Linked DNA regions of Macaca mulatta. The protein of the gene in region 1 interacts with the protein of each later gene in a biochemical or structural test. Links are inferred from orthologs where the notes say so. Each region holds a gene or a part of one and is shown on either strand. Other genes may lie near its edges.

Evidence for each region.
Region 2: the proteins of EZR (region 1) and ICAM3 form a complex in vitro, tested with the Homo sapiens proteins (2 studies listed by BioGRID). The link is inferred for Macaca mulatta from reciprocal best matches to the Homo sapiens genes EZR and ICAM3.

What each region holds. Positions count from the first base shown.
Region 1 is NC_133409.1:77,680,335-77,689,209, reverse strand, and holds the start of EZR (ezrin), read left to right. Parts: upstream 1-4,524; 5' UTR 4,525-4,578; intron 4,579-5,688; 5' UTR 5,689-5,761; coding exon 5,762-5,773; intron 5,774-8,875. UniProt on the Homo sapiens protein: Probably involved in connections of major cytoskeletal structures to the plasma membrane. In epithelial cells, required for the formation of microvilli and membrane ruffles on the apical pole. Along with PLEKHG6, required for normal macropinocytosis.
Region 2 is NC_133424.1:11,060,237-11,069,243, reverse strand, and holds the start of ICAM3 (intercellular adhesion molecule 3), read left to right. Parts: upstream 1-4,000; 5' UTR 4,001-4,061; coding exon 4,062-4,137; exon of another isoform or gene 4,138-4,394; intron 4,395-4,725; exon of another isoform or gene 4,726-5,069; coding exon 5,070-5,336; exon of another isoform or gene 5,337-5,536; intron 5,537-9,007. UniProt on the Homo sapiens protein: ICAM proteins are ligands for the leukocyte adhesion protein LFA-1 (integrin alpha-L/beta-2). ICAM3 is also a ligand for integrin alpha-D/beta-2. In association with integrin alpha-L/beta-2, contributes to apoptotic neutrophil phagocytosis by macrophages.

The DNA.
Region 1 (8,875 bases):
GTTTCTCTGTGGCTATCATCTCAGCCAGCGAAATGCTTACTGTGTTTTTCTTTTTCTTAAATAAACATTTCAGGCCAGGTGCAGTGGCTCCCACCTGAAATTCCAGCACTTTGGGAGGCTGAGGTGGGTGGATTACCTGATGAGTTCGAGACCTGTCTGGGTAACACGGTAAAACCCCCTGCCCACAAAAAATACAAAAACTAGCCCAGTGTGGTGGCGTCGCCTATAGTCCCAGCTACTTGGGTGAGGTGGGGGGATCTCCTGAGGTTGCAGTGAGCGGAGATCATGCCACTGCACTCCAGCCTGGGTAACAGAGCGAGATCCTGTCTCAAAAATAAAATAAAAATTTCAGACCAATAAAGAGGTAGCAAGGAGGCTATAAAGCAAACCCGTGGACTACCAGGCACCTTAGTCAAGTATTACCAAGGCAGTGGAAAACCTCCATGCTTCTCTCACTGTGTCATCACCCTGTCCTCCAGATTTAGTTACTGTCTTGCATTTTCCCCCAAGGTTATTAAGGGTGGAAAATAACCCCAATCCTTGTTTTGCCAAGAGTACTCTTTATATATTTCCCCATTGCCTACTGACTGTTGTTTTGAAGTGACTAGAACTAGATAGAGCTTTAGTCACTTTTTCGTTACTGGTTGAGATTAACCCGGCACCAGTATGGAGATAGGCTCCAAGGTGATTTGATAGAAAGCCTGCCTATCAGTGGATGTGACTGTTCTGGATACAATGGTTCCAGTCCGTGACACTGTTCCGAGCTTCCAGGAGGGCTGTCCTTCCTCACTTTACTTTAACCTTGTCTGAAGAACTCCCAGGAAGTTACCAACAGCCCTTCACCAAGTTCAAGAGGCAGACTTATGATTACCCTTCTCGAGCTGAAAAACTGAATAATGGAAACCTGGCAGTGAAGGGTCATTCAAGGTAAATACCTAGACTAACAACATAGTCCTGGCTCCAATGTTTCCTCACTTCCTTCTAAGGCATTGAGTATCATATATTAACAAAAGGATGACTTTCAAACACAGGGAACAGCTTCACAAATGAGGGCTGAAAGGACAGGCAAGCAAAACATGTGTCAAGGTCCTGCCACATCCTAAGTCAGTTGTTCTCAAATTATGGTGTACATCAAAATAACGTGGGGACTTGTTAAAGATATAGATTCCTAGGGGCTGCCTGAGACTTAGTGAGCCATCATTCCTGGAAAAGGGCACTAAGAGTGATTCTAATGCATATTCAAGTTTCAACACAGCTGGAGTTGAGTCTTCTGTGTGTGCTGGGGGGCAGGGGTTTAGGTTCTAAACCCTAATGAAAATAAATTACCCTTAGAAAATCTGAAAACATCCGTAAGATACACTGTAGGTGTTTCCTTGGTGGGCAGAACAGTATAGTAACATGTAAATGCAATGTGTCATGCTTACAGTAATGATAAGGAATGCATGTACAAATATGACTTTATACTATTTTAACTTAAGAAAAATTATATAGCATCCCTCTGTATCCACAGATTGGTTTCAAGACCTCTGAGGATGCCAAAATTCTGCAATGACCAAGTTCCTGACAAAAAACGGTATAGTATTTGCATATAACGTACAAAATCCTCCTGCATATCTTAAATCATCTCCAGATTACCTATGTCATATAATGTTACTACTTGTTATACTATATTCTGTATTGGATTTTTATTAGTATTTTAATTGTAATTTTTTTTTTAATTTTTTCCAAATCTTTTCCATCCAACGTTGGCTGATTCCATGAATGCAGAACCCACAAATACAGAGGGCTGATTGTACATATAAGTTGGGTGAGTTAAATGCTCATATGATACGACTCAGTGACACAAGAATACCATGAAATACATATTATCATTTCCGTTTTACAGATGAAGAGACGGATGCTGAGTCAGGTTGACAGACTTGCCCAAACTAACCATGTTGGAAGTACAGGAAGCAGAATTCAGACTTAGTTCTGTTTGCCTCAAAAACCTGCCATCGTTTCATTTTTATTTTATTTTATTTATTTTTTGAGACGGAGTTTCGCTCTTGTTGTCCAGGTTGGAGTGCAATGGTGCGATCTCAGCTCACCACAACCTCCACCTCCCGGTTGGTTTCAAGCGATTCTCCTGCCTCAGGCTCCCAAGTAGCTGGGGTTACAGGCATGTGCTACCATGCCCAGCTAACTTTTTGTATTTTTAGTAGAAATGGGGTTTCCCCACGTTGGCCAGGCTGTCTCGAACTCCTGACCTCAGGTGATTCGCTCGCCTCAGCCTCCCAAAGTGCTGGGATTACAGGCTTGAGTCATCGCACCCGGCCATTTCATTTTTACCACACTGCCACAGGCCACTTCATTTTTCAGCATTCCCCTAAAGGGTAAAGTTCAGAAATGCTCTTCAAGGTCTTGGGGCACGGCTATTTCAAATATTCAATTTATAAGACAGTATACTTCAAACAGAGTGAGATAAAAATTAGATTAGAGGCATATTCTATTATCAGAGTTAGGAACCCAAATTGGCTAACCAGGCTCTAGGCAATGATAAGGCGGTGGAGGTACTGATGTCCAATTGGAAACATTATCAGTACAGGTATTTTAAATAGCTTTCATAGTTTCCTTTCTACTGCAGTTACCATTATATCTTCATTTTATTTATTTATTTATTTTTGAGACGGAGTTTTGTTCTTGTTGCCCAGGCTGGAGTGCAATAGCACCATCTCAGCTTACCGCAACCTCCACCTTCCAGGTTCAAGCAATTCTCCTGCCTCAGCCTCCCGAGTAGCTGGGACTACAGGTGCGCACCACCAAGCCCAGCTAATTCTGTACTTTTAGTAGAGATGGGGTTTCTCCATGTTGGTCAGGCTGGTCTTGAACTCCCGACCTCAGGTGTTCCACCTGCCTCAGCCTCCCAAAGTTCTGGGATTACAGGCGTGAGCCACCGTGCCTGGCCTATATCTTCATTTTAATAAAAAAGAAATTCAGGCCAGGCGCGGTGGCTCACACCTGTAATCCTAGCACTTTGGGAGGCCGAGGTGAGCGGATCACCTGAAGTCAGGAGTTCAAAACCAGCCTGGCCAACATGGTAAAACTCCATCTCTACTAAAAATACAAAAAATTAGCTGGGCGTGGTGGCGGGTGTCTGTAATCCCAGCTATTGGAGAGGCTGAGGCAGGAGAATTGCTTGAACCTGGGAGACAGAGGTTGCAGTGAGCCGAGATTGCGCCATTGCACTCCAGCCTGGGCAACAAGAGTGAAACTCCGTCTAAAAAAAAAAGGAAAGGAAAGGAAAGAAATTCAGTCTTTCAGAGGGAATACACTTACCTGAATAGAGGTCAAAGTCTCAGAAGAGGCCTCCCTCCTCTCTCTGACCTCTGAAATGCCCTGGACCTGCAAGTGGGAGATTACAGGCCCTGACAAGGGTTGCCCAAACAGCAGTGTGGCACTAGGAAGGCAGGTTAAGCATCAATTACTATGATGCTAGCACAACTTAAGCACTCTGCATGCACAATCTCATTTAATCCTTACAAGTGTATGTAGGAGGGGCTACTAGTATGTTCATTCAACAAACTGGGATACAGAGTTTGGAACTTCACCCAAAGTCACTAGTTTCTCTACCAGGATAGATTTAAGTGCTTACTGTCAGGTACTGTTCCAGGCATCTTATATGTACTAACTCATTATCCCCATTACAACCCTCTGATACAGGTGCCATAATTATGCCACTTTACAGACGAGAAAACTAAAAGCAGAAAGGGAGCAGTAAACCCAGGAGATGAATTCTGGAGAAGCTCTCTGGTTTCAACCCTTAGCCAACATCACAATCACCTGAAGGGCTTGTAATACACTGATTGCTGGGCCCAGTCCTAGAGTTTCTGAATCCTAAGGCTGAGCAACACCTAATTTCCACTTCTGCAAGTTCCCAGTGAATGCTGTTGCTGCTCGTCTGGAAGCCAGACGTTGAGAACCCCTTCTAGAGTGAGGTCTCCCGCAACAAATTCTACCGGCCCCCAAAGCACGTGTTTTGTGTGTCTTAAAAATTTGTTGAGTACCATTAGCAAAAAACAAACAAAAAAACTTAATTCCTAGAATTGCAGAGAAATCCCATGGAGTTTTTTGCTAGTCACGTCAAAAGAGGCCACAAAGTGCCGCTTAACCAGAGCTTCGGAAGACAGCGGCTGGGCCGGCCACGTGCACCGAGACTTGGGGCCAGGTGCAGCCGCCCCAGGGCCGGGGTATCGGAAAGGGCCCCCGGTCCCAGCCCCAAGCGGCCCAGCAATTCCCCCGGGCCGTCCGCCCCTCCAGATTTATTTACGTTTTCCTGACTTCCCCCTGCCCGCCGTGGGACAAACAGCCTCCCCACTTGCATCTGCGCTGGGAGTAGCGCGTACTTCCGCCAAATTCGCCTCCGAGCCCGAGTCCCGGCCGCCGCCATCTTGCGGGGGGCGCACCTCACAGGTCGGGAGCTGGGCGGGAAGGGGCGTGGCCCCGGGACCCGCCCCGCCAGGGCTCTTGGGAGCGCGGGCAGCCAGCGCACTCGGCGGACGCCAGGGCGGCGGGGAGCACACGGAGCACTGCAGGCGTCGGGTGAGGCGTACGGCGGCGGGGGTCGGGGCGGGGGTTCCTGACGGAGGGACCGGGTGGGCGGCGGGAGCTCGGATGCAGGTACGGCGGGCAGCCTGGGGGGCGCGGCGCGGGTCTCTGCCCGGCACTCGAGGGGCAGTGGAGCTGAGCCGGCCAGCGGCCCCGCGACCTTCCCCTCGGCACCAGGTCCCCTCTCCCGAAGGAAACGCGGAGCCTGGGTGCCTGGGCGCCGTCCCTTGGCGGCTCCCGGGCGGTTGCAGTTTTTGAAAGAGTTTCTCAAAGGCGTGACGGTTGCGATTGCAGCCGCGGGGCAACCGTTGCTACACAAAGTGAAACTTGCCGAGTGCTCGGCTCCTCACGGGCTTCCTGGCAGCCCTGGGAAGTTCCTCGGCTGACCCCGAGCCCGCGCCCTCTCTCCACGGACCCCTCCCCGCCGAGTGCCCCCCGGCCATGCGCCCCCTCTCCCCTGACCCCTCCCTGCCGAGTGCCCCGAGGGCTCGCGCCGGCGCTCCCGGGACTCCTTTCTCCTAGGTGATTCCCCCTGCCCCTCGCCCTCTCTCCCCCAGGCCCGCGCTCCGTCTTCCCGGGCCTTTCCCCGCCGGGTACCCCGGGCCCCGCGCCCTCTCTTCTCCACTTCTCTCAGCCAGGTGCACCTGGAGTGCCCCCCAGACCCCTTCCCGCCCGGTCGGCGCTCTTTCCCCCATCCCTCCCCGCCGAGTGTTCCCCGGGGCCCGTGCCCTCTCCCCCCGACCCTCTCCGCCGAGCGTTCCCCCTGCCCTATATCTCCCGGACCCGCGTCCCCCACCAGCCCCTTAATGCTGGGGGTCCCCGGGTGCGCACCCCCTCTCTCCGGACCCCCCCAACTGGGGGCACCTCGAGTGCCCGCCGGCTGCCCCTTGGGCGCGCGCCCCCGCGCTCAGGCCCCTCCTCGCCGGGGGCCCCGCCCGGCCGCGCCCCCTCCCCGTGCCCGCAGTGCTGGGCTGGGCGCTGACTCACCCCGGCCCGGGCTGGCCGGTTCTTAAGCGGCGGCGCGCGGCGGGCGCGGAGTGTCGGGCGCGGCAGGAGGACGAGGCAGGGCCGACCGGCGCTCTAAGGGCTCTGCTTTGACTCCAGGTTGGGACAGCGTCTCCGCTGCTGCTGGAGAGTCGTGTTTCCGGGGATCGAGGATACTCAACAGGAACCGAAAATGCCGAAACCAGTAAGTTGCCCAGTTTCTGGGACGGGCGGACGGGGGAGGCTTCATTGGCGAGGGGAGGCACCTGCACGAGGTGTTGGGACAGTTCCTGGTGGAAGAAGGCTTTTCTCACACGCAGAAGAGGATAGGAATAGGGGGTTGTCGCCGCTCTTTGTTACTTGTTGGCCCTTTTGTGGAGCGTTAGGAAAACACCATTTTGATGCTTTTCTCTGCAGTCTTTTTCTTTGTGAGCCCCCTCCCCAGTAGTTACGATCTTCTCTAAAAACTAGAGGCCCTTTTACACTGCTTCCGTCTGTTTTTAAAGGGTATGGTAATGCAACTTCGAATTTTCTTAAAAAGTCCAAATCACAGGGAGACTCAAATGGCCTCCGACCACACACACCAGCTCTCAGAGTTCCTAAGGGTCCGAAACCACAGGCGCCCAAGATCCAACTGGGGAGATTTAAAGGGCGTTTGGGAGAGGAGACTGGCTTTCGGAAGTTGCCGTTCAGCTTCGCTTCCTACGAGGCCCATGAAGCGGTGCCCTGTTCACCAGGAAACTTACTGGCTGCAGCAGAATTTCTGTCTCTTAACAGAAGGTTAGCCATGGACTTGAATTGTAGATGCAGGCAGTCGGCGGAGTTTGATGAGCGGCTCTTGGCACGCTGGGCCGAGCACTCCTGGTCAACTGATGAAAGGGCTGTGCCTGCGCCTCTGTCTCCTTGAATCTGATTGTGTTGAGATTGCTGGCTAGGCCTGGGGGTTGTAGGCAAAAGGCAGGTTCTCTGGGACTGACACTTCTTAGAAAGTTGTATGTATTCTACCTGCTTTTAACGCTGGGGAACTAGTGACTATTCGGGAGAAGGTTTAACATTTTTTGAGTTTTGAATCACAATGGACAAAATAACAGGGTTCATTACAAACTGGGATTACAGATACATCCGGATTTTTTTTCTGGTTTTTCAAACAAGTTGGTTCTGTAATCAATGATTGTGTGCCCTTTTTTTTTTTTTTTTTTTTTTGGGGGAGGTAGGTGGTGGGGAGCAGAGTCTCCCTCTGTCGCCCGGGCTGGAGTGCAGTGGCCTGATCTCAGCTCACTGCAACCTCTGCCTGTTGGGTTCAGGCGAATCTCCTGCCTCAGCCTCCCGAGTAGCTGGGATTACAGGCATGTGCCACCATGCCCAGCTAAATTGTGTATTTTTGTAGAGAGGGTGTTTCACCATGTTGGCCAGGTTGGTCTCAAACTCCCGACCTCAGGTGATCCGCCCACCTCGACCTCCCAAAATGCTAGGATTACAGGCGTGAGCCACCACACCCGGCCTTGGTGCTTTTTCTACTGTTAAATTTTATGTTCTCTAAGAAGATGTTTGTTAGAGGTATTAATTTTGCTGTTAGGTTAGAGAATATTAATATGCCAATAGATTCAGAAGCCAATATCATTTTTGCCTAAGTTACATTAAGATTTATTTGCGGTGCAGAGTATTTTCTATACAAAATTTTTCTTTTTAATTCAAACTTAAAAGTGACACGTGACATCCAGGCTTGACAGTGCATGTGGTATGAAACTGACCTAAGTACAACCCCTTACTTAGGCAGAGCTGAGTGCAAGGGTATGCAGAGGAGTGGTCAAGATTACCCTTCTGGGTGTGGTTTTCTTTATTTCACTAAAAGAAGAGATGCAGAGCTCAGCTAAGATAGCACTCAGGAAAAAGTTAACCTGTTCTTAGTCACTACTTTTCTTTCTCATAATGAATGGTAATTTATTTTTCTGGTTTCTTTTTTGTATCTTGGTAAAATATACAATTTATCCTCTTACTTTTAGGTTTACATTTCAAAGGTATTAAGTACATTTACATTGTTACATCGCCATCACCAAGGTCTATCTCCAGAACTTTTATCTTCCCAGATTGAAACTCTACCCATTAAACTCTCCCTCCCCATCCCCACCACCAGCCCTTGGCAACCACCATTCTACTTTCTGTCTCTGTGAATTCCACAACTCTAGATACCTCATATAGGTGGAATTGTGATAGCATTTGTCCTTTTATGGTAGTCTCATTTCCCGTAGCATAATGTCTTCAAGGTTATCCATGTTGCATTGTCAGAACTCCGTTCTCTCTTTTATTTCTTGTGGCAGGTATATTTTCATTTTGTTTTGTTTTAAAGGTGTTTTATGATAGATCAGAACTTAAAAGATGTTTCTGACATTTGACAAAGTGAAGATAGTTGTGAAACAGTTAAGGAAAGACAGTAGCCATCACCTTGTGTATTAGAGCTAGAGTTACTCTTTGAAAGACTGTATTTTGTATAATATCTACAATTAGAATTTTCAAACCTTTTTTGAGGCCAGGCAAGGTGGCCTGATGACAGGCATGAGCCTGTAATCCCAGCACTTTGGGAGGCTGAGGCAGGCAGATCACATGAGCCCAGCAGTTCAAGACTCGCCTGGCCAACATAGACTCTGTTTCTACAAAAAAATAGAAAAATTAGTTGGGTGTGGTGGCCTGCGCTCTGACTGAGCTATTGGGGGTGGAGGCTGAAGTGGGAGGATTGCTTGAGCCCCGGAGGTCAAGGCTGCAGTGAACTGAGATCAAGCCACTCCATTCCAGCCTGGGCAGCAGAGTGAGATGTTGTCTGAAAACAAACACAAACCTTTTTTGAGAGGCTTCCATTTAGTTCAGCCATACCTGTCTGCCATGGGAAATTTCTCCCTTCCCCTTCTTTGGCAGAGGAGGGTCTTAGAAATAAATTAAACACAGTAAGCCTTTCTGTGTGTAAATTATATTAGAGCCATCCCACAAATCACTGATAAGAGCATAGTAGGTTGCACATACTTGAATATGACACTTCGTAAGGCTGCTAGAGAGGATCCAGTTAGTTTTGGTTTGGTTTGGGGTTTTTTTGCTGCCTGAGTAAATGTTAAAATGAAACATCCACCAACAGCTCTATGGATGTGTCTTTTAAACAAAGGTTTATTGATTCTAATTATTCAAGCTCAAGTTAAGAATGTTAGCAAAGAATGTTAGGTGGTTTTGTTGGGCTTAATGTTTAACAACTGGATTAAGGGGCAACCACACTTAAAGGATGGATACCTCTGAGTACTTGGCCTTCCACCTGATTCACTGC
Region 2 (9,007 bases), on another chromosome or scaffold:
GGAGGCGGAGCTTGCAGTGAGCTGAGATCCGGCCACTGCACTCCAGCCTGGGTGACAGAGCGAGACTCTGTCTCAAAAAAAAAAAAAAAAAACGAAAAAATACAAAAATGAGCCGAGTGTAGTGGCACCTACCTATAGTCCCAGTTTCTAGGGAGGCTGAAGTGGGAGGATCACCTGAGCCTGTGAGGTCAAGGTTGCAGTGAGCCATGATTAAGCCACTGCGTTCCAGCCTGGGCAGCACAGCCAGACCCTGTCTCAGGAAAAAAAAAAAAAAAAAAAAAAAAAAAAAGCCAAATCTTTTCATCCCAGGATGTCTGAAAATGACAGAGTCTATGGAGTATGGATGCAGAAAAGTAGTTATTCCTACCAGAAAAAAAAAAAAAAAAAGAAATGTGGACACAGCCACTCAAGATCAGAGACTCAACCAGTGAAAGCAATTAGCTTCAATTTCATTGTCACCAGGAGGGCACACACCAGAGAACCTGGGAGAAAGCCTGGGTTACAGCCCTTAGCATTCTCAGTGTTACTGGTGCTGTGGTTCAACAACCTTTGTGGGAATGAGGAGAACCAGAGACCATCACCATCACTCCTAAAAAGGATACTATAGCAACAATGTGGCTGTCAAAAATCAGCTGGAGGCCAGTTGTGGTAGCTCAGGCCTGTAATCCTAGCACTTTGGGAGGCCAAGGCAGGCGGATCACCTGAGGTCAGGAGTTCGAGACTAGCCTGGTCAACACGGTGAAACCCTGTCTCGGCCGGGCGCGGTGGCTCAAGCCTGTAATCCCAGCACTTTGGGAGGCCGAGGCGGGCGGATCACGAGGTCAGGAGATCGAGACCATCCTGGCTAACATGGCCGAGGTCAGGAGATTGAGACCATCCTGGCTAACATGGTGAAACCCCGTCTCTACTAAAAAATACAAAAAACTAGCCGGGCGCGGTGGTGGGCGCCTGTAGTCCCAGCTACTCGGGAGGCTGAGGCAGGAGAATGGCGTGAACCCGGGAGGCGGAGCTTGCAGTGAGCAGAGATCCGGCCACTGCACTCCAGCCTGGGCGGCAGAGCGAGACTCCATCTCAAAAAAAAAAAAAAAAAAAAAAAAAAAGAAACCCTGTCTCTACTAAAAATACAAAAAATTAGCTGGGTGTGGTGGTGCGTGCCTATAATCCCAGCTACTCAGGAAGCTGAGGTGGGATAATCACTTGAACCTGGGAGGCAGAGGTTGCAGTGAGCCCCAGACTGTGCCACTGCACTCCAGCCTGGGTGACAGAGTCAGACCCTGTCTCAAAAAAAAAAAAAACAAAAAAAAAAACAGCTGGAGTTTAATTTATACACTGTTTGCAATCCAGACTGTATTTGCTTTCTTGTCAACGGCTTGAGATATGTGCAGGAGCTCCTTAAACATGTGTAGGTGACCTTTCTCTGCCGCCCAGACTGGAGTGCAGGGGCACAATCTCAGCTAACTGCAACCTCCACTTCCCCGACTCAAGCAATCCTCCTGCTGCAGCCTCCTGAGTAGCTGGGACTACAGGTGTGTGCCATCAAGCTTGGCTGATTTTTTGTATTTTTAGTAGAGACAGGGTTTTGGCATGCTGCCCAGGCTGGTCTGGAACTCCCGACCTCAAGGGATCCACCCATCTTGACCTCCCAAAGTGCTAGGATTACAGGTGTGAGACACCACTCCTGGCCCAGAAATACTTCATCATCAGAAATATTACTGGAGGGTGTAGAAGGGTACACTGATAATCCCAGCACTTTGGGAGGTCAAGGCAGGCAGATCCCCTAAGCTTAGGAGTTCAAGACCAACCTGGGCAATATGATGAAAGCCGTCTCTACAAAAAATTAGCCAGGCATGGTGGTGTGCACCTGTGGTCCCAGATCCTAGGGAGGCTGAGGTGGGAGGATCGCTTGAACTCAGGAGGCTGAGATTACAGTTAGCTGAGATTGCGCCCCTGCACTCCAGCCTGGGTGACACAGTGAGACTCTGTTTCAAAAAACAAAAAAGAAATATTACTTATTTACAAATATTTCTTTCTTTTTTATTTTTAGAAACGGGGTCTCACTATTACATAATTATTATAAATCATATCTATAATATATAATATATATTTTATATATATATATATATATATATATATATATATATATATGTATGTATGTATTTTTGAGACGGAGTCTTGCTCTGTCACCCAGGCTGTAGTGCAGCGGCACAATCTCCGCTCACTACAACCTCTGCCTCCCGGGTTCAAGTGATTCTTCTGCTTCAGCCTCCCGAGTTGCTGGGACTACAGGCGCCCGCCACAACGTCCAGCTAATTTTTTATATTTTTGGTGGAAACGGGGTTTCACTGTGTTAGCCAGGACGGTCTCGATTTCCTGACCTCTTGATCTGCCCACCTCAGCCTCCCAAAGTTCTGCTGGGATTACAGACTTGAGCCACTAAGTCTGGCATCTTTTTTATTTTATTTTATTATTATTTTTTTTGGAAACAGGGTCTCACTGTGTCGCCTAGGCTGGAGTGCAGGGGCACAATCTCAGCTCACTGCAGCTTTGATCTCCCAGGCTCAAGCGATCCTCTCCTCAGCCTTCCAAGGAGCTGGGACTACAGGCACCAGGTCCATGCTACTGGGCCCTGCTATTTACAAATACACTAGACTTGGGTTTTAGCTGCTCTCTCAACACTAGGTGGGAAATGAATTGTTCGGAAGGCAGAGGAATAGAGGAGGGACCTGATTAGGAAGGTGGGGGTGCTCCAGATGAGAGAGGAGGTGCTGTGACCTCAAGCTCTGGGAAAAGTGGGTGAACGCAGGGCTCCATCAAGGCCCTCAACAAGGTCCCTCTCTGGTGCTCAGATGTTAGGCCCAGAAGACAGGTCAGAGGCCTGAGGTCAGCAGCAGGTCAAAGGTGGGAGTCCCCCCTGGTCCCCTTGGTGCCTTCCCTTGGAATGAAGTGACCAGCTGCCTGGAAAGGTGGGCAAGGGGGCAACAGGATGAGGTAAAGGCCAGTTACAAGTAGAATCCTGGAAGGTTGGGCGAGGTGGCTTATGCCTGTAATCCCAGCACTTTGGGAGGCCAAGGCAGGCGACTCACTTGAGGTCAGAAGTTTGAGACCAGCTTGGCCAACATGGTGAAACCCCATCTCTTACCAAAAAGTACAAAAATTAGCCGGGCATGATGGCACATGCCTGTAATCCCAGCTACTCGGGAGGCTGAGGCAGGAGAATTGTTTGAACCAGGGAGGCAGAGGCTGCAGTGAGCCGAGATCCCACTACTGCACTCCAGCCTGGGCAACAGAGTGAGACCCTGTCTCAAAACAAAACAAAAGCCAAATCGAATCCTGGAAAGACAGTGGCTCAGGGACTCAGCTGTCCCCAAATCACCTACCTTAGCTCTTCGTGCATGGGAGGGGGGATCCCCAAAATCTTCAAAGATAGGGAGATGTCCTCAAGATCTTCAAAGGTGGCCAGGCGTTGTGGCTCACGCCTGTAACCGCAACACTTTGGGAGGTCAGGATGGGAGGAGGCCATCTCAAGGCCAGGAGCTCAAGACCAGTCGGGGCAACATAGCAAGACTCTGCTTCTGGTTTTTTTGTTTGTTTGTTTGTTTGTTTTATGTTTCCTTGAAATCCCACCTTAGCATCTAAACAGTGGTGCCTACAGGTTTCCCCCATTAACTTCCTCTCTGGGAACAGAATATTCCCCTCCCCACCTAAGTTCAGCCGGAAGGAGATGCCTCATACCCCCACACCCAGGCTTCCCAGTGCTGAGAACAAAGGAAGCCAGTTCAGTTAGCATTTCCTGGCTAGGAACTGGGGGCCAGCAGTGCAACTGAGACCAGCCCTGTCCCTGGGGGAGACTCAGCAGTGCTGGCCACTTTGCAGAGCCCCGTCTGGGTCCCCCATTCTAGCCCCCCAGGGCCACAGCATCCCCTTCTCCCCACAGGCCTGGGTAAGGTGCAGTCCCCAGACTTCTGCAATCTTAACCGCTATGCTTCCGTCTCAGTGGGAGGCCCCGCCTTTCCCCCTGCCTGCCCTTGGGGCACCTCAGGAAGGCACCTTCTTCTGTCAGAATGGCCACCATAGTACCATCCGTATCGTGGCCCGGGGCCTGCTGGACTCTGCTGGTCTGCTGTCTGCTGACCCCAGGTGAGGCTGGTCAAGCCCAGGAGGGCTGGAGAGGGCTGGGTTTTGGGGCTCAGTAGAAGGTGGAGGAAGAGAATGCAACACTCTTTGCATCCTGCCACACTGCGACCTGGCTGCTGACCCCGTATCCTCGGGAGAAAGTTCTGGTTCCTTAGTTCTGCCTTCAGGTGGTCAGGCCCCAGCATACGGCTTCTACGCCATCCCTCTTCCCCAACACACACACACACACACACACACACCCCTCACGCTTCCTGCTCCATCTGAACTCCTGAAATTTTTTTTTTTTTTTTTTTTTTTTTTTTTTTTTTTGAGACGGAGTCTCGCTCTGTCGCCCAGGCTGGAGTGCAGTGGCCGGATCTCAGCTCACTGCAAGCTCCGCCTCCCGGGTTCACGCCATTCTCCTGCCTCAGCCTCCCGAGTAGCTGGGACTACAGGCGCCCGCCACCTCGCCCGGCTAGTTTTTTTTTGTATTTTAGTAGAGACGGGGTTTCACTGTGTTAGCCAGGATGGTCTCGATCTCCTGACCTCATGATCCGCCCGTCTCGGCCTCCCAAAGTGCTGGGATTACAGGCTTGAGCCACCGCGCCCGGCCTGAACTCCTGAAATTTGCCCTTTGCGTATGTGGTTCCCTCTGCCAGGATCACCTGTCCCTTTCACTTGCTAACTCTTACTTAGCTTTCAGTTTCAGGCTGGCATGGTCTCCTCCTCCAGGAAGCCTTCCCTGACTCACCTCCTCCTATGCTGGATCAGAGCCTCTTCTGGCCTCCTTCTGAGTTCTCCCTGGTCCCTGATGGATTCTGCCTTTCCCACTGGACCATGAGGGTGGGAACCCTTCTATCTCGGCACAAGGAAAGAGGTGTTAAATGGTGGGGCCTGCTGATACGCGGGTTGGGGGGCAACAAAACAAACACCAGGATTTCTTCATGTTCCTGAAGGTGCCCAGGGGCAGGAGTTCCTGCTGCGGGTGGAGCCCCAGAACCCTGTGTTTCCTGCTGGAGGGTCCCTGTTGGTGAACTGCAGTACTGATTGCCCCAGCTCTAAGAAAATCATCTTGGAGACGTCCCTATCAAAGGAGCTGGTGGACAATGGCACAGGCTGGGCAGCCTTCCAGCTCAGCAACGTGACTGGCAACAGTCGGATCCTCTGTTCAGGGTACTGCAATGGCTCCCAGATAACAGGCTTCTCTGACATCACCGTGTACAGTGAGTCGATGTGTCCGGAGGTGGGACTGGTGTTGGGTAGTGGTGTGGGCAGATGGCCGATGGCTCAGGAGAATGGAGACCCTCAGTTTGCAAAGAATGGACCAGGATTCTGACCCAGAGCTCAGACCTGGACATTTGTGTGTGTGAGATACAAAGACATAGAGACACATCTCAATCTCATGCCAAGGCAGCAGTTGTGAAATCAATTAACTTGGGCCCCAACCAACATTTTTTTTTTTTTTTTTTTTTTGAGACAGAGTTTCGCTCTTTTTGCCCAGGCTGGAGTGCAGTGGCGCAATCTCGGCTCACTGCAACCTTCGCCTCCTGGGTTCAAGTGATTCTCCTGCCTCGGCCTCCCGAGTGGCTGGGATTACACATGCACGCCACCACACCCGGGTAATTTTGTATTTTTAGTAGAGATGGCATTTCTTTTTCTTTTTTTTTTGAGACGGAGTCTGGCTCTGTCCAGCCCAGGCTGGAGTGCAGTGGCCGGATCTCAGCTCACTGCAAGCTCCGCCTCCCGGGCTTATGCCATTCTCCTGCCTCAGCCTCCCGAGTAGCTGGGACTACAGGCGCCCGCCACCTCGCCCGGCTAGTTTTTTTGTATTTTTTTTAGTAGAGACGGGGTTTCAACGTGTTAGCCAGGATGGTCTCGATCTCCTGACCTCGTGATCCGCCCATCTTGGCCTCCCAAAGTGCGGGGATTACAGGCTTGAGCCACTGCGCCCGCCTGAGATGGCATTTCATCATGTTGGCCAGTCTGGTCTTGAACTCCTCACCTCAGGTAATCCGCCTGCTTTGGTCTCCCGAAGTGCTGGGATTACAGGCATGAGCCACTGCACCCTGCCCCAACAAGTTTTTTTTTTTTTTTTTGAGATGAAGTCTGTTGCTCTGTAGCCCAGACTGGAGTGCAGCGGTGCCATCTTGGCTCACCACGACCTCTGCCTCCCAGGTCCCAGTTCAAGCATTCTCCTGCCTCAGCCTCCCAAGTAGCTGGGATTATAGGCATGCGCCAGCATGCCCAGCTAATTTTTGTATTTTTTGTAGAGATGGGGTTTCACCATGTTAGCCAGGCTGGTCTTTAACTCCTGACCTTGTGATCTGTCCACCTTGGCCTCTCGAAATGCTGGGATTACAGGTGTGAGCCACCTTGCCTGACCCCAACAATAATTTCAACACTTTGGGAGGCCAAGGCAGGAAGATTGCTTGAGCCCAGAAATTTAAGACCAGGCTGAGCAACATAGGGACACCTTGTCTCTACAAAAATAAATAAAAAATATTAGCTGGGGCCGGGCGTGGTGGCTCACACCTGTAATCCCAGCACTTTGGGAGGCCGAGGTGGGCGGACCACGAGGTCAGAAGATCGAGACCATCCTGGCAAACACCGTGAAACCCCATCTCTATTGAAAATACAAAAAAAGTAGCCGGGTGTGGTGGTGGGCACCTGTAGTCCCAGCTTCTAGGGAGGCTGAGGCAGGAAAATGGCATTAACCCGGGAGGCGATGGAGCTTGCAGTGAGTGGAGATTGCGCCACTGCACTCCAGCCTGGGCGACAGAGTGAGACTCCGTCTCAAAAAAAAAAAAAAAAAAAATTAGCTGGGCATGGTGGTACATGCCCGAAGTCTCAGCTACTTGGGGGGCCGAGGTGGGAGAGTTGCTTGAGCCCAGGAGTTCAAGGCTATAGTGAGCTATAATTGCACCACTGCACTCCAGCCTGCGCGAAAAAGTAAGACCCTGTCTCTTAAGCAAAAAAAAGGGGGTACCCCTTTCAGTCAGCAGTAGGTGAATAGAGGTTTTATATTTACACTTTTTTATACTTTTATTTTAGAGACAGGCTCTCCCTATATTGCCCAGGTTGGTCTCAAACTCCTGGGCTCATGCAATCCTCTTCAGCTCTCCAGTAGCTGGGATTGCAGGCCTGAGCCACTGTACCTGGCTACTTTTTTTTTTTCTTTTTCTTTTTTTTTTTTTGAGACGGAGTCTTGCTCTGTCCCCTAGGCTGGAGTGCAGTGGTGCAATCGTGGCTCACTGCAACCTCTGCCTCCCGGGTTCAAGCGATTCTCCTGCCTCAGCCTCCTGAGTAGCTGCGATTATAGGCACATGCCAACATGCCCGGCTCATTTTTGTATTTTTAGTAGAGACAAGGTTTCAACATGTTGGTCAAGCTGGTCTCGAACTTCTGACCTCATGATCCACCTGCCTCGACCTCCCAAAGTGCTGGGATTACAGGCGTGAGCCACCATGCCTGGCCTTTTCTTCTTCTTCTTTTTTTTTTTTTTTTGGAGATGGAGTCTCACTCTGTTGCCCAGGCTGGAGTGCAGTGGCACGATCTCAGCTCACTGCAACCTCCACCTCCCAAGTTCAAGAGATTTTCCTGCCTCAGCCTGCTGAGTAGCTGGGACTACGGGTGTGCACCACCACGCCCAGCTAATTTTTTTATTTTTAGTAGAGACGGGATTTCACCATGTTGCCCAGGCTGGTCTCAAACTCCTGGCCTCAAGTGCCTTGGCCTCCCAAAGTGCTGGGATTACAAGCGTGAGCCACCATGCCTGGCCTACTTTTTGATTTTATTTTTTTTATCCTTTGAGACGGAGTCTTGCTCTTGTCCCCCAGGCTGGAGTGCAATGGCGCGATGTCAGCTCACTGCAAACTCTGCCTCCTGGGTTCAAGTGATTCTCCTGTCTTAGCCTCCTTAGTAATTGGGATCACAGGCATGTGCCACCACGCCTGGCTAATTTTTGTATTGATTTTTAGTAGAGACAGGGTTTTGCCAAGTTGGCCAGGTTGGTCTCAAACTCCTGACCTCAAGTGATCCGCCTCCCTCGGCCTCCCAAAGTGGTGGGATTACAGGCGTGAGTCACCTAGCTCTTTTTTTTTTTTTTTTTTTTTTTTGACATAGAGTCCCACTCTGTCACCAGGCTGGAGTGCAGTGGCACTATCTCAGCTCACTGCAACCTTTGCCTCCTGGGTTCCAGTGATTCTCGTGCCTCAGCCTCCTGAGTAGCTGGGATTACAGGCACGTGCTACCACGCCTGGCTAATTTTTGTATTTTTAGTAGAGACGGGGTTTCACCATGTTGGCAAGGCTGGTCTTGAACTCCTGGTCTCAGGTGATCTGCCCATCTTGGCCTCCCAAAGTGCTGGGATTACAAACATGAGCCACAGTGCCCACCCTGAGGCCCAGGGTTTTGTAGGTGTACCTGGGAGGGCACCCAGCCTGGGAGTGTCAAGTCTCCTGTGACTGTACCAGAGCATCTTGAGAGGCTGCCACAGGGCTGGTGAACCAGGAAAGCCCTGAGTGTCTGAACCTGCTTGGAGAGAACTGAACTAATCTCTGGTAGAGGCCAAAGCAGGTGTTCAGGCCAGAAGCTAGGAGAAGGGGCCAACAGAGTCCCTAGACATGATATCCAGGAGGCGCCTCTGCTACTTACCGTTTGTGCGTCCTTAAGTAATTCACCTCCCCTCTCTGGGCTATATATTTCTCCATCCATAAAAGAGAAAAAGGCCAGGCGCTGTGGCTCACACCTGTAATCCCAACACTTTGGGAGGCTGAGGTGGGTGAATCACTTGAGGCCAGGAGTTCAAGATCAGCCTGGCCAACATGGTGAAATCCCATCTACTAAAAATACAAAAATAGGGCATGGTGGCTCACACCTGTAATTCCAGCACTTT